6 linked regions of the Coturnix japonica genome follow. The protein of the gene in region 6 interacts with the protein of the main gene of each other region in a biochemical or structural test. Links are inferred from orthologs where the notes say so. Each region holds a gene or a part of one and is shown on either strand. Other genes may lie near its edges.

Region 1 (3,500 bases), on a different chromosome or scaffold from region 6:
ACCTTGCAGACTGCATGTAAATACATCATTTTAGATTACTGAATTGTTAAAATCTCAAATACACAAAGGCATTTGAAACTTGCTGTACAAGTGCAGGAGGACAATATTGCATTGTGATGGAACAATATTATTTTGCTTCTGCAGTCCACAAGGATGGTTAATCAGCACCCACTGCTGTCTAATCCAGATTAGAAGAAATTGCTAGATAAATGGAAATACCAGCTTAGCATGAAACAGAGGAATGAAAATTTGATGGTTTCTCTAGGTCATCTGAATCAACACAACAGAGTAGGAATTAGTTTTTTATCCTCCTACTGACAAAGAAAATAAAACACCATATTAAAAGGTAAAGACAATAGTAGGATATAAGTAATGCTGTGGTATTTCCACTCGGTTGTGGATTTACTGGCTTAACTTTCACATCCTGACAGTGTTAACATTTGGAAAAGAAATCAAAATTCTGAACACAGTCTGAGCAAGTAACATACCAAGCTTTGGCACCAACACTTACTTGCAATTATGCTAACAGGTTATGTGTCAACATCTATTACATCATTTGTTTCTGTTACACTCAAAAGGGCTAAATGTGGGGATGGCATGGGAAGACATTTTTGATTATCTGATTTTTAAATTATAGAAGTGAAACTCAAATGTGTATGGAAACTATCTTACCTTCTGGACGGTACTGAGCCACAATAGTTACTGCTTGGCCTGCGTTCTTCAAAGCTGTTGCTGCTTGTTCATGGGTTGCTGCCTTCAGATCGACTCCATTTACCTACAAATTATACAAAAAATCCTTTTTATCAAAATAAATGGTTGTGTTTATTATTATCATCACAAATACAGACTCGTGAATAAAAAAGAGAGTTAACTGGATAGAAACAAGTTTCCATGTCTTGTGAGATTTCCCTGTTTCCAACATTATGAGCTAGTTAATATAAATGAAAATTAGTGATCTTTACTGAAATCAAAAGGCAGTGAACCCTCTCTTGCATATAACCATCTGTTAAGAGACAAATAATCACAGTATATCACTTCATGAATTTATTATCACTAAGTCAATTTTCTTGTTAAAGATCCTTTCAGTCATTTCAGGAAGAAACATGGACATGGCTTAGTGAGAGCTATTGGTAATAAGTGAACAGTTGGACTGGGCGATCACTTAGATCTTTTCCAACCTCAGTGATTCTATGATTCTGAACACAAGATCTTTATGGCCTCTAGTATTAAGACAGGAAAAGTCCTCAGACAGGTTTGAGATGGGTACAATTAAAACTAATGGGAAGTTCTGCAGTTAATCCAGGAAGCGAACCACTAAATGTCTCCATCTCATTAGAAAGCTTGTTTATGAAGATTGCATTCTTTCCATTCAGACACACAGGTAAAATAACTTAAAGTCTTACAACTTTTTAACTCTGAATAACATCTGAGATAGAACAGTGCCATTTTCATTGAGGTAGAGATGAGAAACTAAGGCAGCCTAACATCCGCAAAGGTACTTCAGAAATATACTGGTAACTGTTCCATCGCCTCAAATTCAGCTCAATTAATAATATTCTTTACATTTAAATTGTATTATCCGGCATTAGTACCAAAAGTAGGGGAAAAAATTTTGTTGCTGGTGTTTAAATAAAAGAAGCAAGGACTCCTACAGAAATTATACGATCGCCTTTCCTAAGTTCTCCACTGAGGTCAGCTGGTCCTCCTGCAAGGATGAAAGACACGAAAATGCCTTCCCCATCTTCTCCTCCCACAATGTTGAAGCCAAGACCCGTTGAGCCTCGATGCAGGACAACCTTTCTAGGCTCCCTGGATGAAAGGAAGGAATGCCAAAGCTTAGTCACAAGTCATGAATAAAATTAAATAATTAGAAGTTGTCCGAGTTTTAAAAACTATTGAAAATTCACATACCAAAAATTATATGTTTAACAAGCAAGATTTTCAAATATTTTCTATTATTTGTATACCCTCTATTTTGCTTATAGATGCAAAAAGATCTCCCTGTTGTTAGGTGAACTGAACTATCCATTTGTATGTAGGTATTCTAAATCTCTGTTATGCTGTTTATTCAGCACTACATGACAATATTTAATACTTTCCTTATCATTCAAGAGCCTGGAACAATCTAACAGTAATAAAAACACTATTTTCTGAAACTTATCAATTAAATTCTAATGGAGAAGTTAATAACAAAATGCATGTCCTTGCTGCTCTAATTCCATTCTAGCTGGATGAGAAAAATATAGCAAAGAGAAACTGTAGCATTCTCATGTGTATTTGCAATTTATTTGCTGAAATTCTAACTGAAAAAGTTAAATCCAAAGCAAGTTATTTCATTCTTGGCTTCCTGGCTCAGATCAGGAAATAAAAGGAGAAATGCTGATGAAGGTAAAAGAGTTAATTCAATAGGCACAGCCAGTCAACACCTAGTGCAGAAACCCGCCATCCAAAAACCTGCTGTTTTATCCAGTAGAATAAAAGCATGGATGATTTCAGACACAGGAAACTTCTAATAATAAAACAGAAACCGTGCACTACAGTTAAGAATCACTAGAGAGCACTAAAGAACAATTAACGGACATTCTTAAATATTTGGAGACATAAATTATTAGTTTATAGGACAAATGAAGATGCTGCATTTTTCTAAAACAAAAAATACAATCTAGTCTGGCTTTTTACACTTCTCCATTTCTGCACCAGCTTTTAGATCAACTCAGCATCAAATTCCTAAATTCTGCCCTCTATCTGATGTCAGATTCATCTTTTCTAAGTGCTATTTTATTACAAACATATGACACTGTGGAAACCTACGTATATTGCGCCAGATCACAATAACACATCAACAGATAAGCTGCAGTTAGAGAACGTAAGTACATGACATCTGTTTACATATTATTCAACTTATCTAAGCCTCTTTCTGGGATGAAAGCAGTGGGAGGGAAGGTAATTTCAAGAACACATAAAGCCCTCCTTGAATAGCCCTTACATTTCAAAGGAAGCCTAAAAATCTCAGTAAATTGGAAAAAAACTGTACACTTACAACTTCAATAATACAATCACAGAAGGACAGAATCAATGTGACATACATGCCTACATAACCATAAGCTATAAAACACATATCTGAGGCCCTCCCAGTTTTTAATACACGAAAACTCATTCTACAACTTAACCATCTCACTTACGTTTCAATCTGGGCAGATGCCATCTAAGAAACTGAATGACATTACCCATATTAGAAAATAGTGTGGCACAGACTTCAGCAACAACATACTGAAAATGCAGTGTAATGTTCCCAATTTGCAGGAGAGAAAAGATGAGCTTTACTGATAAACAAAAAGACTGCTTTAATCTTCTACTGAATTGGTGAAGTAATGAGCGGTTGTTAATGGGAAGGGTTAAGAGCTCTCTAGCCATTCTGGATTTACTAATCCATCAAAATAAAATAAACATTTGTCTGAAAAAGATACATTGCTGGCCTTAGGATAATGAATAATCTCTGG
Region 2 (4,248 bases), on a different chromosome or scaffold from region 6:
TCACGGACAGGATGGCATCTCCCACATACAGTGCCTCGGTCTGGTCTGCTGCCAGTCCCTTGAAGATCTTGGAGATGAGGATGGGCATCTTGTTCTCCCGGCCACCTGCGGGCAGAAGGGGCACCAAGCAGTGAGGGGACACTGAGCAATTAGGGGCACAGGGCTGCTCAGTGCCCACACAGTGCCCAAATACCTCAGAGCTTTATGGCAGACACATGTTAAGTGCTTCAAAAAACCATCCGAGTGGCTGCAGATTTCCTTGCTGAACAAACACACGCCCTGACCGCCTCCCCATCACTTCTGGCAGGAAACTGTGTCACTATTTGCATTATTAACTGTGTGTGCTGAGCAGCCTTCCCTGCTCTCAGGACCCCACGGTCTCAGTGGGGCAGCAGCTGAGTGCTGGAGAGGCAAAAGAGCCCCAGAGCAGCAGCTCAGCCGCAGGACTACCTGCTCCCCACTCCTCTCTGTCTCCATTCGGGCTGCTCCCCACTCTTCAGCCCACCAGGACACTCTCAAGGCCTCCGGGCAGCTCAAGGAGATCAATTTGCACTTTAAGTTCTGAACCTGTAGGAGATGCCAGCAGCCCCGCCTGGCGCTGCCCACGCTCAGCGCTGGGACAGCGTGTGCCGGGCACCCCCTCACTCCCCCCTACCCCCCTCCCACGGGCAGGGACCGGCAGCGTGACACCTCCCAGGGCTGCACCCGCTGTGCCGCCAGCATTGCTCCGCTCGGATTTCTGCAGAGCCTCTCCGGGAGCTGAGGGCTCCTCCGGCTATCAGCTGTCAAGAGGCCCCCGCGGGGGCTGCTGCTGGCTGCCGAGCCCAGCTTGGAAGCAACGCCTCGCAACCACCCATTCTGGGCTGTGTGCGTGGAGAGGGAACCACCGCCCGGAGCACCATGCGGTACACGACCCTGCAGGAGAAGGATCCTAACCCTAACCCTAACGATGCTAACCCTAACCCTGCAGGGCTGCATGAAGCACCAGAAACCCCAAGTGAAGTACTGTCTGGGGTTAGGATGCAGCTGAAATGCTTTAACCAGAAGGTCCATTTTAGATTCTGTCCCACGGGCCATGGACAGGAGCTGGCTGGCAGCGGGGTACCCGTCCCTCCATGCCCCCACCCCCTGCAGGGACAGCAAGGTTTGGCTGCGTTTAATGGCACATGGTCACCCCCCTGCAAAGCAGCAGAGGCACAAGGCAGCCCAAGTGCTGCCCGCCCGCCTGCAGCTCCCCGTTTGGATCACGGCTCCTTGGTTTCCACCTACGTCACTGCAAAAATAAAGTTTAGCTGAAGCAAGTAACGTTTCTCCTTTCCTGGGAGAGCCGCAGAGCCGGCAGCGCTTCGCAGCCCGGGGTTGGTTACAAGGGGGGATTGCACCTCCCAAAAGCGCTGCCGAGCTGCAGCACCCACAGCCCCAACAAGCGGTGAGGGCTCACCCCGGACCCCTCACGGGGACCCGCACCCGACACACCGCCCCACCCAGCAGCGCCCGGCAAGGAGCGCGGTGAAGGCTGAGCCCAATGCGGCCACGTCAGACAGCGGCAGCCCCCCGCACCCCCCCTCGCGAAGTTCCCGGCCCGAAGTTCCCGCAAAGTCCCCAGGACGGGGGTGGGGGCGGCGGGGGACACCGGGGGACACCCGACCGGGGCAGAGCGCTGCGTTTGGGGCGGCCAGGAGGGGACACCGCACCGGGGTCACGCAGGACGCAAGGACACGCGGGCGGAGCCCTCCGGTCGCAGCAGGGCAGCGTAGGTCCTACCTGCCGCCGCCGCCGCCCACTCCTGGTACTCCCCCCCCCTCACCTTTGATGCTGATGCCGAGCCCCCCCACGTCCTGTTTGACGACGCGCACCGTGCGCCTGATGTTGGCGAGCGCCTCGGGCACGCCGGAGCTCTGCTCCCCTCCGTTCAGCTGAGCCGGCGGAGGCTCCCCGGGCCCGGGGCCGTCGGCGGGGCTGACGCTCAGGGTGTCATCGCTCAGGGTGAGCAGGACGCGAAGCCACTGTCCGCCGGGACCGCGCAGCTCCAGCAGCCCGCTGCGCGCCCCTCGCCTGCCCGCCGCCATCTTCCGCGCATGCCGGGCCCGGCCCCGCCGCTCCGGCAGCTCCGCTCCGCGCTGCCCCGCGCACCGCCCGGCGGAGCAACGAGCCCCGCGCACCGCCCCCGGCCCGGCCCACGCCCGCCCCGTCGGGGCAGCGCCGCGCTGCGGGGCTCCGTGCCCGAGTATGGGACGGGGAGCGCCGGGAGGGGCATGGGGAGCTCTGCACACCCTCACTCGGACCCTCCCGGCTCCGGGCACCGCGGTGCGGTTGTGTCACAGGGGGACCCTGCGGGGCACGTCGGGGCGCAGCGGTGTCCGTGCCGAGAACCGGGTGCCACGAAAGCTTCGGGCGTGCTGCGGGGTACACGAGTAACTGCTGTCGTGGAAGCGAGCAGCGCTGTCAGGCAGAGCCAGAAGTGACTCGAAGCGAACTCTGGACTTATTAAGGAAAACTGCGATGATGAAAAGCAATGGCAGCTCTTGGGGGCGGTGGGGGGCAGCCTCAAGAGCTCTCCCACTGGCGTCCGACGACGTCGGTGCCCCAAAGATGGGTGCAGACAGCAGCAGGGAGGATTTTTGGAGGCATTCAGAACAGTCTTGCTTTTTTTCTTTCCTTTCCCTGTCCTGCTTCTTGAAAACAGGAACGGTGTTTGTTTCCTTTGGCAGATCCGCATTTCCTCCTGCAACCGAGTGGCAGCAATGAGGGATAAAAAATACCTCTGGGTACATCCCCTGTGCCCCTTCGGGCAGCTCCAGAGCCCTGGGGTGGGGCTGCAGGTCCCCAAGCCCCAGGCTCTGCAAACGCAGCCTTAAAGGAATTGAATCCCGTTCACGCACAAGGGGAGGTGGGGGGGGTATTGCAGAGCAGGGGGCTGCAGCCCTCCCCACCCCCACACGGAGGCAGCAGCGCTCCCCCCACGCAGAGGCAGCTGTGGAATTTCTTGAGATTGCGGCAGAGGAAACCCTGAAGGTTTTTCCCTTGCAAAGCACAGCTCAGATATTCCAGTTTTCAATCCAAATTCTGCAGTTCGATTGGAGTGACTTTTTGGGTTTGCCTAACAGTGATGCTCCCACGCCCATCACACCCCCCCCTCCCCCCCCCCAGTCCTCTGTGCATCCCACAGACCCTGAGCTGCTGTGCCCATAGCAGAGGGGGTTCAGTCCTTTTGCTGCCAGTTGGGGTCACTTTGCCCCTTGCCACTCGCAGTCTTTTTTCTTTCCAATGCTATTTCCAGCACAGGTGATTATTAAGGCTGTATTCTCATTGTAAGCCACGTCAGAAAGCAGAGACACTGCTCCCAGTGCCACAGGATGGCACCATCCAGGGATATGTGATATGTTTGCTTCCCCAGCCCTGGCAGCACTATGCAAAGCAGCAGTGGGAAGCAGAGCAGTGCCACACAGGGGGAAACCTTGTGCCATGCCACACTGCTGGGCAGCAAGGCCATGTGTGCAGCCCCACATCATGGCACAGAGGTGCTGCAGTGCCCGTGGGATGGTGATATCTTCACTGTGATTCTGTCACAAGGCTGAGCCCATCCCATCCTCCCCCTGCAGAACATCCCCGCTCCCGGACGTGGTGGGTGAGCTGCTATTATTAGCTTCAGCTCTTGGCACACACAGGAGCTGTGTCAAAGCCCACCCGTCTATTTATAGAGCGCTGTTAGCTGCGTGAATTTACATGAATCACTTCTGAAACAGAAGAAAAGCTCGTGTTTGGGTCTGAAGTGGCATCCCCAAGGCTGACAGCAGCACCTCAGGAGAGCATGGGGCAGCAGGTCCTGCCTTGCTGAAACAGATCAGAGGCTGCAAATGCACTGGAGAGGATGGGCAGGGAAATAAAAGAGATTCAGATGTGCACCATGTACTTAACCGAGTGATTCATCCCCTGGTATACAGGAAATGTAGTGAAATGGTGTTGTCTGCCCAAACTGTGCAGTCTCCGACTCCTCCAGTTGACTTTAAAATGTTTTGCTTTGGGACACAGTCACTCCTGGCCGAGTTTCTCCCTTCTCAGTCTGGGTTCTGCTCTCTGGATCCCCATAAGACAGCCACACCAGCTGAGCTCTGTGCTGTGGAAGCGCTTTGCTGCTGCACAGCAGATGGGTTATCAAGGCTGGATGAGTGCTGTCAAAGAAACAGGAAAAAGAAGCACCTGGGGACTGAGATAGGTGTGGGGAAAGCAGGAGCTGGGGGATGCAGC
Region 3 (4,236 bases), on a different chromosome or scaffold from region 6:
TTACCTCTCACCTTCAGCTTTTCACACAAGCATGAAACTGAACCACAGAAAAAAATACTTCAGGCTTGCACAATCCAAGGTTAATAAATAAGAACCGAGAACATTCAGAGCAACATCTAAAGTCTGAAATAGCCGAGTGTGTGCTTGGAAAGGCCCTTACAGCCCCGCCGTGCCCCAGCCGGGCGGTACTCACCGTGTTGCAGGAGGTCAGCAGGTTGATGACATTGTGATCAAAGTGTGTGACGTGGTTGGCAATGTAAACCTGCACCGCAGCGTCACGGAGACGGGGACCGCTCTGCTGCACAAACAGCCCCAGCACTGAGCACATCACACGGACAATAAGGCTAAAGGAGGGAAAAAGGGCTCCCTCAGATGTGCAGTCTGAGCCACAGCTGCCTCAGAGAGCCGAGAAAACAGGAACCCGGGACTGGGGTTGGGAAAAGATATCGGTACGAAATGGGAATGACACGACAGACTGGAAGTGTTTGTGGGCCGCAGCTGAGAGCGGCCTGCAGGGCTGCCACCGCAGCAGGAAACACGGGGCAGGGGGCACCGGGCCCAGAGCTGACAACAGCGACAACAGCACCAATAGAACCAACAACACCAACAGCACCAATAGAACCAACAGCACCAACAGCCCCGTGTGTTTCCGATCGGAGCCGGGCGCAGCCCACAGCCCCGGCCCCTTCCAACAGAGCCGTTCCGTGACCGCAGGGCGCACAACGGCCCCGGAGCTGCCCGGGACCCCCCGCGGTAACGGCGGCCCGTCCGTAGGGCCCGGGATGAGCGGAGCCCGCCCGTCCCCGCACGCACCGTCGCAGCGTCCCGTCGGGCAGGATGCAGCTGACCAGGAAGACGTGCACCCCGATGAACAGCCGCAGCACGAGCAGACACAGCCCCACGGGAGCGTACAGCAGCAGCGCCAGCAGCACGAGCCCGTCACTGGGAAACCTGCGGGAGGACAACGGCAACGGTGGGCGGGGGGTCGGGATGGACGGGGGGGGTCGGGATGGACGGGGGGGGTCGGGATGGACGGGGGGGGGTCGGGGCGGCCGCTCAGCCCCACGCTCAGCCCCCAGCCCCCGCCCGGCCGCTCAGCCCCACGCTCAGCCCCCAGCCCCCGCCCGGCCCGGTTCCTCCCGCCCACTCCCGGGACGCCCCGTCCCGCCCCGCGGGGTCCCCCCGGCGGCTCCGGACGTTGCGGGCCCGGCGCCCGGCTCTCACCGCTGCGAGTCGAAGAGCCGCTCCGGGCCCGGCGCCGCGCTGCGCTCCATGCCGCGCTCCGTCCGTCCCGTCCCGCTCAACACCCCGCTCCACCCGCCGCCATCTTCCGCCGCCCGCCCGCACCGCGCGGGGCGCTCTGGGAGGAGCGCGGCCTTCCCGGCGTGCCCCGCGCCGCCGCCCTGAGCTCACGAGCGCGGCCTGGTCCGCCCGCGGGCGCGGCGCCGGCAGCGGCAGGAGCGGGAGGAGCGGGAGGAGCGGCGGCACCGGCGGCACCGGCGGCACCGACCAGCCCGACCCAGCCGCGCGTCCCGCTCCTGCTCAGCGCGCAGTTCCCGTCCTGCCCCGCGTTCCGGCGCTATGGCGGCGCTGTGCCGGTGGCTGCGCGCTCCGCCGGTCGCCACGCGCTGGGGCCGCGCGATGTGCGTGTCCGCCGCCAACCCCCGCCCGCCGCCGCCGCCCCCGCCGTCCTGCCCCGCCCCCCCCGGCGGACACCGGCTGCTGGCCGCCGCTCTGGGCGCCGGGACGGCGGCGCTGCTGCTGCTGTGGTGCCGGGAAGGCCGCCGTCCCGCGCTGCTCGCCGCCGTGCCCGCCCCGCCCGCCCCGCCGCCCGGTTCGCCCCGCGCCGCCTTCAACTTCATCGCCGACGTCGTGGAGAAGACGGCGCCCGCCCTGGTCTACGTGGAGATCGTGGGCAGGTACGGACGGCACCGCCCGGCACCACCCGCTGCCGCGCGGCCGGCCTGACTTACGGTCACCCTGCCCTATGGTCACCCTGCCTTATAGTCACCCTGCCTTATTGTCACCCTGCATTACGGTCACCCTGCCTTATGACCGGCCTCAGTGTCACCTGCATGGGCACTGCAGGCGCTGCTGGGAGCCCTCAGTTTACAATAGATGGTACCATGTTACTGTGGGCCTGGAAGTGTTTTCCTGCAGCGTTTGCCCCAGGCCGTTCCCAAAGGCAGAGGGTGAAACTGGCCGGTACTTGGGCCCCGGTGTCCTCACGTCCCCGTTGTCACGTTGCTTTGATGCCTTTTTTCATCAATTTAGAGCCCCCCTGAGCCACTCTGACTGTTTGAAGGTCACAAATAGACTCACAGGGACACCAGCTCACCCCGTGTGGCCCTCACAGCAAAGCTCTGTGTTCAGGTTGTGTCTTTCCATAACCTGAACTGCTTATCTGTCCCAAAGACACCAATGTCCACCGCAGCTCTTTGTTAGTGTGTGCTTCCCACTGCACCTCTGTGGTCCTCATGGGGAGACGCTTTTGCCATTCCCATGGATTTCTGGTTCCTGCTGCTTGCTGCCCCATAGCGCACACAGTTGTGCAGACTCTTGGGATGGACACCCAGCGCGGGGCTGTGAAGGAGCTCCCATGTCCTGCTGTCATCCGGGCATCTCCTCACAGTCTCCCGCTGCCGTCCAGCCCACCATGCTGAGCCATGCAGCTGCCCGCTGGCCTGGCCTCACACATACCCACTGGTCCCCTCTGGGCCCCCATGTCCTCCCATGACCTTTGCCCACCTTGCAGGCACCCATTCTCAGGCCGTGAGGTGCCCATCTCGAACGGTTCGGGGTTCGTGGTGTCTCCTGATGGGCTCATTGTGACCAACGCTCACGTGGTGGCCAACCGGCGCCGTGTGCGGGTGAAGCTGGCCAGCGGGGAGCAGTACGACGCTGTGGTGCAGGACGTGGACCAGGTCGCAGACATTGCCACCATCCGGATCAAGCCTAAGGTGCGGGGCACTTTGCCCAGGGGCTCCCTTCCTCTCCCGCCTTCTGCTTACCCGGTTCCTCTCTTCCAGCACCCGCTGCCCACGTTGCCCCTCGGCCGCTCCTCTGAGGTGCGGCAGGGAGAGTTCGTGGTGGCCATGGGCAGCCCCTTCGCCTTGCAGAACACCATCACGTCCGGCATTGTCAGCTCCGCGCAGCGCGGCAGCCGGGAGCTGGGCCTGACCGCCTCCGACATGGAGTACATCCAGACGGACGCCGCTATCGACGTAAGGGCGCAGGCTGGGCTGGAGCTTCGTCCCGCTGCCTGCTCTGGGGAAGGGCTCTGTGTGCTGTGAGGTCTGGGCACAGCAGGCTGGGAGGAGGGTGCTCCTGGTTGGTGATCTGGCTGTTTCTCAGCCTGAGCCCTGTTCCCTGGGCTCTGCCTGCTCACTGTGGGGTAGTGTTTGAGGTTTGCTTTTGTGGCCTCATTGCTGCTCTCTCTGTTGTTCCAGTTTGGGAACTCTGGTGGTCCCCTCGTCAACTTGGTAAGTTCTCCTGCATGTATCCCAGTGGGCCTTTTCTCCTGGGGCTGTGTGCCCTCAGTGGGAGCACTGTGCAAGTATCCTCAGCTGTCAGGAGGGAAGGAGGAACTGTGTGCTCTCGGCATCTTAAAGGGTGGGATCAAGGAATTAGCGTGGGGTGAGAGCTCTGCTTGGTGGGACTCATCCCTGCCCGGCCTCAGCAGGGTCAGACTGCCCAGGGGGGGACGGTGCGCAGGCTTTAAGTTTTGCACAGCTCCATAAAGGTGCAGGTTGGAGAACACGTTGCCCTTTTCCATGCAGGATGGCGAAGTGATTGGGGTGAACACTATGAAGGTGACATCAGGCATCTCCTTTGCCATCCCCTCAGACCGGCTGCGGAAGTTCCTGCAGAAGGAGGAGCAGCGCAAAAGTGAGTTGGATGCCTCTCTGCTCGGGTGGGAAGGAGGCCAGAAGGAGGGTGATGACAGAGGGAAGAAGCTGTGGCATAGCTGACATAACAAGACATGGGCATGTGGGCAGACATAACAAGAGGAAGAACCTTTGGAGAATAGGAAGATTCTCCCATTGGGCATGAGGCAGTGAACCCCTCTGCCATGGCAGATCCATTTGCTCATCTGCCACAGATAAAGACTTCCAGAGTTTCCAAGAACTCTGCCTTGTTTTTGTTCCTTGGGGTTTGTGATAATTTGTTTAGTGCAGATTCTTGCTGTCTGGTTCTCACATTGACATCATGATATTTGCTTGGTATTCTCAAGCA
Region 4 (3,500 bases), on a different chromosome or scaffold from region 6:
TAACCCATATTGTTGTGTACAGATACAGGCACAAGGATATTAATTAAAGATTCATCATAGCGCTTAAATCTGCATACTTGATTTATCAGTGCTGTCTTACGCTTTAAAAGAATTTTGTCACAGCAATTTCCAATACATGTTTGCTCTTTAAATCAAGTACTCTCTTCCTCAAATACTGATATTTTTTTCTAGTCTTCAAAACACTTCATAAGTCTGTTCTGTAGATTAAGCTCCCATATTAGAAATGCATTTTAAGTTTAAACACACCTGATACCGTTATTTTAAAAGAACAAAGAAATATCCAGTAAATTTCTACAATTTCTACATTATCATATTTGCCAGCTGCCACACAGGATCGTATCTGCGTTTCTCATAGTTTAATTTTCATTATTTTTTTTAGAAGTCAATCCTATCCCAGAAAATATAAAGTAGACAATTATATGAGTATTCACCTTTAAACTCATAAGTCTTAGAGTGCTAAGTAAAATCTTCAAAATGCATTAAGGCCAGAATAAAAGAAGCATGCACACAAAAGGCACACTACTAATATATGTTAGATAGGTGTACAGCTAAGAACCCAGGAGCAACCAGTCCATATCCTTCTAGTAAGAAACAGTAATGAAGGCTTACATCAAGAGCATGGAAGAAAAAATATGAGCAGATATAAAGGGTATTAAGTCAATCAGTCTGCTTTCAGTAAAGGTGACTATTTAGTGCTTGTGATACCTGGATAGTTTTCAACCACGTGTTAAACACCATTCCTAACATGTGGAACATAGTGCAAGAGTGAAGTAAAACCAAATAGCTTTAGCAGCACAACAAAGTTTCCCTCTACGCTCAAACACTGCACATTTTTTTTCCTTTTCCATTGTTTGGTTTAAGATTAGATAGATGCATCCAGGGGAATAAGACTAGAATATGCACCTTTGATTAGGACTGGAACACTGTGAGGTCTGTGACAGCCTTGTAGGACAAAGGCTCCACCACACCTCAGCATAATACTTTGCATAAAATATCTTGTTCTATGCGACTCAAAATGGATCACAAGAACAGCTGTGGTGCTGATCTTTTTTTATAATTAGGAATTATGCAAATTAAACAAAACCAAATTCACTTCCCTTCCCAGGAAGCAGAATCAACCTGATGATATCCTGGCCAATACTTAGTGATGCGATTTTACAGTGGCTCTCCTGGGCAGCACAGCATATTACATTCTTCCAGTCTCTACTCAATTCCTTTGAAGATGCAAAACTGTTCACATCTCCATATCAGCTCAAATTTTTGATAAGGCACTAAGGTACAAAAAGAATCCCGTTCATCATCTCTAGTTATATCAAAATCTCCTGTGATTTCCTGAAATGAACAAGATTTTTATGTGCTCTCATCTCAGTTATAAATATTCATTCAACAGTCTGTCAAATATCCAGCTTCAAAAGATAACTGGCTTGGAGGCAAATAAATGTTAATTATACATCTTTTCAGCTCCTCAGCATCACAAGCTGTAGACCTATGCTACAAAATGCATTTTATTGATTTTTTTTTTCTTGTTCCTGAAGAAATACTGAAAAAATGCAGAAGAGAAAGCTCAAGAAAGGTAACCGGATAGTGTAACATGAAGACAATGCCATGTTAACAACAATTACCTGACCTAACAGAGCTGGACTTGCAGTCCAGAAGGTCAACAGGACATTTAATGTATTCAAAGGTAATTGGACCAAGCTGGCAAGTACGATGTAAAAGGGAAAAATTTCACTTACAGACAGTTTTTCAGATACTCAGCATAAACATGTTTACGTTTTAGAAGAAGTAGTAGTACAGAAATATAGTTTAACTGGTAATTGAAAACTGCTCAAAAAATAGGTAATTAACTTACACCATGCCTAGATTACAGAAAAGTAGAAAGAATAAAATTATTTTTACCTTTTCTAGCTTTTTAGCCTCAATATGTCGCAGCACCTGTTCCCTCCAGTCATGAGGGACTTTACTTTTTCCTGTAGGGTCTAACAAAGAGTGCTCAGAGTTAACTCTTGGATTTGATCTCTTTGAAGGGCTAGTCCGAGAGTAATTAAAGTCACTAACTGACATAGTTCTTTCTGGTATTTCATTCACTGACGGACGAGCACTCTGTGGTCGAGGTACATTGGGACCATCAATGCTGTATGTCCTGGCAGAAAGAGGTCTCTGCTGCCCTGACATTACTGGTGGAGCTCTTCCCATTGAATGCAAATCTCTGTATGTCAAATAATCCCCTTCAGGAACCTGGGCCCGCCTTGAAGGTCCAGCATCACCAACATTTACAGAAGCAGTAGAGGATACACTGCTCTGTCTTTGAAGAGTGTGCCTTGTTGCTCCAGGGAGCAGTCTATCGTTTGGTGGAACAGCCCACATGTCTATATGTCTACCAGACATTCGCTGATGAGTGCTATATGCAGCAGTGGCACGGACATTGTTGTGATTGGAGAAATTCATATTGGCAGAATGTTTTACATAGCTGGGTGCTTCTGTGCTTTCAGACCTCAGCAGACGTGAAGGAGGTAAGCTGCTCTGTTCTACTTGAGTGCTTTGTTTCTGGGGCCACAAGGTGTCTTTTGCTGTTGTACTGCTGCTGTACTGAATATTATACTGGGGAGTAGAAAACATCTGTGGACCACCTGTCACTGATCCTCTCACTACATTAGCACCTTCAGGATTGTGATTTGAGTCCAACTTGAATGGAGTTTTTGTAGATGATATTAAATCAGATGATGATGATGACCCAGGAAAAACCTGCAGAGGCTGATCATACAGAAGAGTAGCAGATTTACTCCTGACTATGTTCTTTCCATCTGCACTACCAGATGAAGATTTTACCACTGAGTTTGGCTGTGGAGATACACCATCACTGACAATGTCATAGACTTTCAGGCCACCAGGGTCCATACTGGTGATGCTGTGAGACTTCATCACAGTTCCACTTCTCTGTGGCGACAGATCTTCAGTGCTCCGTGAAACAGACAGCTCAGTGGAAGAGTCACCATCAACTGTAGTGCTTCTCATTAGTTCATCTTTACTGGGAGACTGTACTGATTCCTCAGGATGTCCATTTACTTTATTTATAGGATACTTATTCCCATTTTCCAAGTGCTCACCTTCTTCTTTCATAATATTATTCATAAAGCCCTTTACTGACACTACTTCCTGTGGTTTCACTCTTTCTGTGGGAACTGGCACTGCCTCTTCACTAACCAGTTTATTGATATTCATGTTTATTTGGTCTAACTTGTGAGTCTCCTCTGTAGGAGTACTCAGATCCACACCTTTTTCTATCAGACCTATTCTTTCTTCAATGCTCAGTTCATATTGAGACAGATTTGTAACTTTCTCCTGCACATTTGTGTTTTCTTCTGCAGTAATGTTCAATTCACCTCCGTTTTGCAAAAGATTATTCAAATTTTCATTTTCTCGCCTGCAAGAAAAGATAACCTGTAAGCAATATTCCAAAGGGACTCAAGATATTCCTT
Region 5 (4,113 bases), on a different chromosome or scaffold from region 6:
TGCTGCCTGCTGGAGGCAAGGGAATGCATTTTGTGTAACCCTTTCCCCCCTTAAAGCACTGCTCCTGTGTAGAATCACAGAATCATTATGGTTGAAAAAGATGATCTAAGCTGACCATCAACCCATCACCACCACACCCACTAAGCTTTCAGTGCCACGTTTCTTCAACACCTGCAGGGACAGTGACTCCAGCACCTCCCTGAGCAGCCTGTGCCAACACCTCACCACTCTTTCAGAGAATAAACTTTTCTGAATATCCAATGTGAATCTCCCGTGGCTCGACTTGAGGCCGTTCCCTCTCTCACTTGGCACATGCCAAGTGCTCCTGAACTGCTGTAGTTTTCAGCCCAGCTGACAAGGAGTTGGAGCCATCCTGGATGGAGGGGAAACTGAGGTGTTCTCAATGGCTGCAGTGACACTGCTTCAGAGCAGCACACCCAGACTGGCTGATGACACCTCAAAGCTGCCAGGGTGACCTTTTTGGTCCACTTTCACAACTGAGTTGGGGACTCAGGCTACTCATCAGGCACCAGATTGCATCCTAGGAGGAGAGAGAGCACGGGAAAGACTGCAGAACTGGACTTCACGGGGCTTAAAACGTAGCAAACAAAGGACAAAGTTTAAAAATTTGCAAAAGGGTTCATGAAAATCATTTACCATCTTCATCCACCGAAGCAGCGAAGCAAGTTTGATTGCCCAACTGAAGTAGTCTAACTCTGTACCAACTATTTGTGTTAATCCGTTTATTTACGAGAAGCAACTGAGAAAAATAAACTTGTATTTTTTGCCAAAGCTTCTCTGCCGATAGCACTATTACTCTCCTCTATCCCACTGCTTTCATTCCCCTCGCTGCTACACAACGGAGAGGCAAAAGGTGGGAGGGGATGGAGGGGTTGACACCACTGCTCTCAGTGGATCCCTTCGGTGGTAAACGCGCTCAGCTCGAAGGGACGCTCATGAGTGCAAAGTCATAGGATAACGCACGCTTCTCCTCCGCACAAGCCGGGAGCCCCCGCCCCGCTCTCGGCGGCTTTCAGCCCAAGTCGAGCCTTCTGACGGCGACGGCGGGACGCGGAAGGTCCGCCGCTCACCCTGCGCTGCCCATCCAGCGGAGCTGGGAGTGCGGAGCTCGCGGAGCTCCCGGACCCTCCGACCGCACGCTCTCCCGCACGGAGTCGCGCTCCGCGGGCGGTGCCGCCAGGTGCGCCCGCCCAGGCACGGCCCCGGGGGGGCGGCCGCGGCACCTCGCCCCACCCCGCCGCGCCGGGAGCTCACCGCCCCCGGCTGAAGTCCGGTACCGCCGCTCCGTGCCGTGCCGGGGGTGCCGTCACTCGGCGCTTCCAGCATGCTCCTAAGATGGCGGTAGCGGCGGCGGGCGGCGGCGGCGGGGGCGGCCGGGCGCAGCGCAGCGGCTGGCTGGAAGTTTTGGTGCGGGAGCGCTGGCACAAAGTGCTGGCCAACTTGGGCGGCGAGGCGCTGGTGCTGAGCGGAGAGGAGCGCCCCGACGGCGCGGCCCACAACGGGCTGGGAAGCGATGGGGCGGCGTGCCGCGGAGCCGAGGGCGGCGGCGGGGGCTCGGCGGTGCGCACCGCCTTCACCGACCCCCCCGAGCAGGTGCCCGAAGCCGTCTCCAACAAGAAGCGCTGCGTGAAGGTGCTGAAGCAGGAGCTGGGCGGGTTGGGCATCAGCATCAAGGGAGGCAAGGAGAACAAGATGCCCATCCTCATCAGCAAGATCTTCAAGGGGCTGGCGGCCGACCAGACCCAGGCCCTCTACGTGGGCGATGCCATCCTGGCCGTCAACGGCACCGACCTGCGGGATGCCACCCACGACGAGGCGGTGCAGGCACTCAAGCGGGCCGGCAAGGAGGTGCTGCTGGAAGGTACGGGGCTGCCGGCGGAGGGGGGTGCGGGACCGCTCCGTGCGCCTCGCTCCGGTCGCCCTTTCGGTAGGGAACCCCGACGGCGCGGGGACGGAGCCTCACGGATGGCACCGCGCGGCTGTCGGGGCTCCGCAGAGCGGCCAGAGTCGGGGCTCTGCCGTCCGATGCGCGACCAAACTGCGGAGCCCCGACAGTCGGCGGCTGAACCGGGCCTTGGCGGGGGGAGTGGGCTCTGAGGAAGCTGTTGGTACCTCCTGACACAGAAACCATCCCCACAAATGTTTTGTGTCTGGGAATGACTGAGTTTGGTAAGAAGCAGCTTTAGAAACGGAGTCTGGAGCATGGTGTGTATATGTGTTGTATGGGAGTTGTCCATGAAACAACTGTTGGCAAGGGCTGAGCAGAGGCAGAATAACTCCCCAGGACACCATGCTCATAAGGAGGGAGGCAATCATGGACGTGCAGTCCTTGTGTTCTTCCCGGGATTTGTGTGGTTGCTGGACCTGAGAGAATGAACAGCTTGAGCAGTGCCCTTGGCATATGTTTGATAAAGTGATTGCACCTTAGCCCAGAAGTTCATTTAACCAGAGGTCATTGGCATTTTTAGTGTGCTACTGTGCCATCCCCATGCCTTCCTCCAAGCCCTGGGTGCCCCTACCTTGGTATCCCAGCAGCGCATTAGGTAACCTTCAAACACAGTTCTTCACATGTCTCTTTTATGTTCTAAGAAGCAGAGGAAGTGCTGCTGCCAGTTCAGGGATACACATGAGCATCAGCTGCAAACAACTGACTGTGGCACAAAGTTATGGGAAAAGCTTTAAGAAGTGGTTCTGTGCAGTAAAGGTGGGGGAGGTGAGAAAATTTAATCTGTGGTTTTGGCTGCTGAGAAACTGCTCAGTGCCATCCACACTGCAGTGAAACCTGTGCGGGGATTGCTGTGAGGCTTTAACAAGCTGAGGGCCACCACGTGCCCTGTGCTCCCATGACCAAACCATGTCTCCTCCCTGTTAACTGCATGCAAAGATTCCTGTGAAGTCCTAATGTAAACTCACTGAGGTCTGAATGGAGCGGTGATGTCGGAATTGTGCCACTGGTTTGTTTGCACAGTGCGGGGCTCCCGGGGTGCAGGCCAGCAGCAGCTGACCTGTGCTGTGATCTAATGAGGAGCGCACAGCACGCTGCCTGTGGAAACAGCACCTGACTGTGCTGCTGCTGCATAAGCCTGCTAAAAAACTCTGAGTTGTTCCTGGTAGGAGCACACTTGAAGCTGTTTGAGCAGGGACGACTCCTCTTTGCTCCATTGGCCTCTGCAGCTGTTTTCTTGCATTTCTTTGCTCCGTGGAGGTGTAGGCTGATGTGCTTCAGTGCTTGTTCCCGCAGTGGAATTTGTAAGTTGTAAACTGAGAGTCTCTTTCAGTAGTCCTCCCTTTAGATGTTTAAAATACTCCAGTGCTGAAAGCAGTATTTGTCTTGGTTTTCTTCTGCAGTTTTAGCAGAATATCTAAATACAGGATTGTCTCCGGCGTGTCCCCAGGAGGTGCTGCTCTGTGCAGCTAGGGTTGGACTCAGTGATCTGTAGGGGTCCCTTCCAATTTAGGATTCTGTGAACCTCTGCTTGAGTGGCTTGTGTAAGCCAAGGATTCAGTTTCCCACTTCAGAGACCTTTCTCCAGTAGCACAGCCTAAAATGGTCTTTTTACTATAAAGGGAAGGAATAGCCAGAAGATTTTTTCCCCTTTGAAGTACGGGAGGGAAGAGCGTTGCTTTTCCTCACCTCCCAGACAAGAGGAACGTGCTGCTTCCCGACTTCTTGGAAAGCTGTGCATTACAAGGAGCACCCTGAGCTGGGGTGAATCCCTGCACAGTTCCTCTCTGGGCTGTTGCTCTGGTTAGCAGGGCACTGCCATTGTGTATTACCAAAATATAACATGCATGTTTTCAAGGAGATTCAGAGGCTTGTGTCTCACAGAGCAGAAAAGCTGACTTGGGCTTAAAGAATTTGAAAAGGCACCATGAGGTGCTACACATGAGGGACAGATGTTAGGGTGTGAGGGGGAGATTGCAGTGTTACCCAAGGTGTTGTGATCTCCAGGAAAGGGTTTATGGGTTTTGTGCATGCTGAAGTGGTCAGCTCTGAGGCTGTGGCTCAGCGCACCCGACGTCATGGCTTTGCATCCTTCTAAAACTGCTTGCTCAGTGAAACGAGGTATTTACCAGCTCAGCACTAAACTG
Region 6 (3,500 bases):
ATGGCCTTTCTAGCTGCTTATTCTTTAAAACATCACAAAACTAAACTCACGCTTCCACTCATCCAGGGGTAGATCCATGTTATCAAATGTGTCATCATATTTCTCAGCCTCAATTTCTTCCTCAGGATCATGAATTGCTTCAAAGTAAGGATGCATCAAAGCCTCAGCTGCCGTGACTCGCTCCTCCGCATCCAGCACCAGCATGTTCTCCAAAAGATTCACAGCTATGGGACAGAAAATGAACACTGCATTGAAATCAAGCGCCGATTTCAGCTTATACATAGTAATGCTGCATTGAAGATGCTTCAAAGATACCTACAGATTTACAAAGCAGAATCATTGGGTGCTCATTCTACAGCCAGTGAGGTCCAACTGCACAACAAAACAGAGTGCTGTGAACAAGCTGGGATGTGTACCAAGAAATGCAGAGATGCTCCTTAAATTCCACATGCAATACAGACACATCACCTCAGCTCTGACTTCTGAACTTCTGACTCCAGGTCCACTGCATGTAGGAACTCCCCAGATGTCTGCCCTCACTGCCAGCACTTTGTTGTGGTTATGAGGCACATCATTACTTGGCAGGGGCACTATGAGCAGATGGGTGTAGAGCTATCGAGAATTGTTTGTTATGTGACTAGATCCATGTCCTCAGCATTGGCAGCACATTTTCAAGTTCACCAAGACATCCATGCTCTAAATGTCAGCACTAACTTTATCTGCAACGTGTTTTGACCTCACCAAGACAATCCATGAAATCCATGAACATCTTCAGTGTTCCTCACGGGTGGATTTTGGATCGGGCCCTCTGTGAGACTATCAAAAGGCACTAGTATAAACTGACATGATTCTATTATGTTCATAAAAGTATCCTGTAAGAAAGTTTCTGAGTTGGGTGGAGCACCAGAAAGGAAGAAGGGACAGCAGCATGGGAAAAGATGCTACAACACCTGCTTGGCACATTATGGCTTCATAGCATCATAGAATCATTTCGATTGGAAAAGAACACTGAAATCTTTAAGTCCAACCACGCACCTAACAAGTCCTTCCAACCTTCTCTCCCAGACCAAGAGCAGTTGTTTTTCTTATAAGGAACAGCCAGATGGCCAAAGAAGTGACAGGAAGAAATAAAGTAGAGATGTGTAGAGTTTTCTGCAGCTGGGACAGCTAGTGAGTGAGCCATGCGGTCATGGTTAATAATCCTACTGTATCTTCATATGCCATTTTAACTGCTTAAATACAGAAGATTCAATTGTCCTAATTCATATTCTAAGAAAGCCTGGCTTTATGAGTCAGGTCATTGGGGAACGGATGAAGCTGGGCAGAGCCATCTCAGAGCACTTATTGCCTCAGGTCATGTCACAGTTATGCACACTTGGTATGTTCTTCTAGCTGTTTATATCCATCAAATACAAGCCAGATCTTTGCAGGAATGCACAGATGTTTCTCAGGACGCATTCATTCCATGTCTAAAATGTCAGCTTTCTATTTGTTTGCATTTCTGTTGTACATCAAAAGGACCTTTCAGAATTATATTTAAAATACAATGCACAGAAACCTTTATTAAATATATTTAAATCCCCAGGGCTCTTGAGAAAGCTGCTTCAGTAAAACCATTAAGCACGGTCTGGATCAGAGCCTAAAGCATAAAATACTTCTTTTTGACTCTTTTGAATCATCTGATTCCTGGCAGTGTCTAAACTTGGCACAGTTCGGCCACTAGAATCAAAGTTCTGAGTTATGGAAAGCAAGAGGCAGAGCAGCATGGGAATCATCACATAACTTATCACATGCTGACACTGCTGCTGCCTCCAGTGCAAACAAAACAACAACGGACTGTACACATTGACACAAACTGCCTTACCCAAAGGACTCGCATGCTTCAAGACGGATGCAAAATCCTTTTTCTGGACTTTTGGAAGGCTTTTGATGTAGTTTTTTGCCTTGAAAGAAACATGAGTATTAAATCAGAACTTTTCCTCCTTTACTAGGTACCTTACTGGTGCTTTGACAGTACCTTGCACAAAAGGATATTTTTTTTTGTTCTAAGGCCTGGTTATGTTCATCTTCTTGTTGAAAGGAACAGTTTCTTTTAAACCAAACCTCACAATTCTGATTAAGAAATTAAACATAAAGCTCTGATACCTAATCAACATCTAATATGCTGATTAGAATAAGTATGTATTCATCGTTTGAAAGAATGCCATACTGAAATTTACAGAAGCCTCTAAAAGTGTATGTTTCACAGTAATTCTGTAGTATTCAATCTGCACAGTTCATCTAATGGTTTATTTTAGGTTCTTTATAGCAGGGACTTCAGGATTCTCAAAAACATCACAAGAAAATAGGAAAGAGGAAGTCAGAGACACCCACAGAATGGATGGGCTCTCTGAAGAGGTTCATATTGTCAGTACACTTCCAGCAAAGGAAGTAATGTATCAGCTCAGCTGATTTAAAGTACTTAAATATATTGGTTTTTTTCAGTGTCCTAATCATTTTGTTTCCTCTTAATGTCCAGTAATTATTCTGGCTGTGAAACCTCCAAAGTAGGCAGAGAATCCTCCATGTGGCGCAAGTGGTAGAAGTGCCGCTCTGCTACACAGGAGGCTCGAATCCCAGGGGTTGGACTCGATGACCTCTAAGGTCCCTTCCAACTCGCACAAGACTGTGATACTGTGATACTGTGATAGATGTGCTATCAGGGGTCATTTCAGCAGCCAACACACACAATCTCAGGCAGTCTAAGAATTGAGAATGGCCCAGCGCACACAACACAGTCTGACAAAGCAGAACACTCACCTCCTGACTCTTCAGTTTTTGCACAAAATCTTGACTTGGAGTACCCGTTACTTTCATGATTTCTGTGAGCTGGTCCAGATCTGAATGCCAGAAATAAGGAACAAAGACTCTCACCATAGGATAAAAATTACGTGTTTCTTTGCTGCTGGAGAATAAAGCAAAACCAACAATGCAACAGCTGAACAGGAGGCATGTAAAAGATGAGCTGTCAGACATACAGAACTCGTAAACAGGACAAGTGATGAATTCTTGCTGTATTCTTTAGCACTACACTCCGCTGTCTGTCACAAGCGTTCGGGCCAACAAAGTATCACCTAAGGTTGAAGTATGGCCAAATCTTAACTATTTTCTTAAATTGTCAGCAATGAAATGACATGACTAAATATTTTCTGCACATCTAAAATATTCTACTATGTATTATTTACATGGTATTTTGGACAAAAGCCTCAAAAAGCTTGAAATGGACTAGCACATGCTCATAAGTTCATACACTACACCAGAACTTTCTGTGCTGAAGTTGTGGAACCTATTGCTACAACAAATGCATATGTATATATATTAATATTTACCTTTTGTATTGTCAGTGAAACTTTTAGCTGATGATTTGAGGCATCATTCAATGGATATCCCAATCCCACTCTCTATTGAGAAAGTTCAGTAATATGAGTTTTAATTCGCTGATGTACAGATGTGGTACAAGT

Evidence for each region.
Region 1: the proteins of mitogen-activated protein kinase 12-like (region 6) and DLG1 interact in a test that uses a peptide from one of them, tested with the Homo sapiens proteins (2 studies listed by IntAct, with this or other methods). The link is inferred for Coturnix japonica from reciprocal best matches to the Homo sapiens genes MAPK12 and DLG1.
Region 2: of the proteins of mitogen-activated protein kinase 12-like (region 6) and SNTA1, one has a biochemical effect on the other in vitro, tested with the Homo sapiens proteins (2 studies listed by BioGRID and IntAct, with this or other methods). The link is inferred for Coturnix japonica from reciprocal best matches to the Homo sapiens genes MAPK12 and SNTA1.
Region 3: of the proteins of mitogen-activated protein kinase 12-like (region 6) and HTRA2, one has a biochemical effect on the other in vitro, tested with the Homo sapiens proteins (2 studies listed by BioGRID and IntAct, with this or other methods). The link is inferred for Coturnix japonica from reciprocal best matches to the Homo sapiens genes MAPK12 and HTRA2.
Region 4: the proteins of mitogen-activated protein kinase 12-like (region 6) and ERBIN interact in a test that uses a peptide from one of them, tested with the Homo sapiens proteins (2 studies listed by BioGRID and IntAct). The link is inferred for Coturnix japonica from reciprocal best matches to the Homo sapiens genes MAPK12 and ERBIN.
Region 5: the proteins of mitogen-activated protein kinase 12-like (region 6) and SNTB1 interact in a test that uses a peptide from one of them, tested with the Homo sapiens proteins (2 studies listed by IntAct, with this or other methods). The link is inferred for Coturnix japonica from reciprocal best matches to the Homo sapiens genes MAPK12 and SNTB1.

The regions. Positions count from the first base shown.
Region 1 is NC_029524.1:10,741,798-10,745,297, forward strand, and holds part of DLG1 (disks large homolog 1), read right to left. Parts: intron 1,810-3,500; coding exon 1,653-1,809; intron 776-1,652; coding exon 673-775; intron 1-672. UniProt on the Homo sapiens protein: Essential multidomain scaffolding protein required for normal development. Recruits channels, receptors and signaling molecules to discrete plasma membrane domains in polarized cells.
Region 2 is NC_029535.1:2,063,036-2,067,283, reverse strand, and holds the start of SNTA1 (alpha-1-syntrophin), read right to left. Parts: upstream 2,801-4,248; 5' UTR 2,070-2,800; coding exon 1,808-2,069; intron 106-1,807; coding exon 1-105. UniProt on the Homo sapiens protein: Adapter protein that binds to and probably organizes the subcellular localization of a variety of membrane proteins. May link various receptors to the actin cytoskeleton and the extracellular matrix via the dystrophin glycoprotein complex.
Region 3 is NW_015439533.1:471,255-475,490, forward strand, and holds the start of HTRA2 (serine protease HTRA2, mitochondrial), read left to right. Parts: upstream 1-1,436; 5' UTR 1,437-1,581; coding exon 1,582-1,919; intron 1,920-2,755; coding exon 2,756-3,224; intron 3,225-3,449; coding exon 3,450-3,482; intron 3,483-3,779; coding exon 3,780-3,888; intron 3,889-4,236. Other genes in the region: AUP1 (ancient ubiquitous protein 1), read right to left, coding at 194-344, 814-951, 1,225-1,274.
Region 4 is NC_029547.1:14,161,419-14,164,918, forward strand, and holds part of ERBIN (erbin), read right to left. Parts: intron 3,446-3,500; coding exon 1,921-3,445; intron 1-1,920. UniProt on the Homo sapiens protein: Acts as an adapter for the receptor ERBB2, in epithelia. By binding the unphosphorylated 'Tyr-1248' of receptor ERBB2, it may contribute to stabilize this unphosphorylated state.
Region 5 is NC_029517.1:123,525,465-123,529,577, reverse strand, and holds the start of SNTB1 (beta-1-syntrophin), read left to right. Parts: upstream 1-1,313; 5' UTR 1,314-1,356; coding exon 1,357-1,882; intron 1,883-4,113. UniProt on the Homo sapiens protein: Adapter protein that binds to and probably organizes the subcellular localization of a variety of membrane proteins. May link various receptors to the actin cytoskeleton and the dystrophin glycoprotein complex.
Region 6 is NC_029516.1:18,175,128-18,178,627, forward strand, and holds part of mitogen-activated protein kinase 12-like, read right to left. Parts: intron 2,880-3,500; coding exon 2,800-2,879; intron 1,944-2,799; coding exon 1,865-1,943; intron 225-1,864; coding exon 51-224; intron 1-50. UniProt on the Homo sapiens protein: Serine/threonine kinase which acts as an essential component of the MAP kinase signal transduction pathway.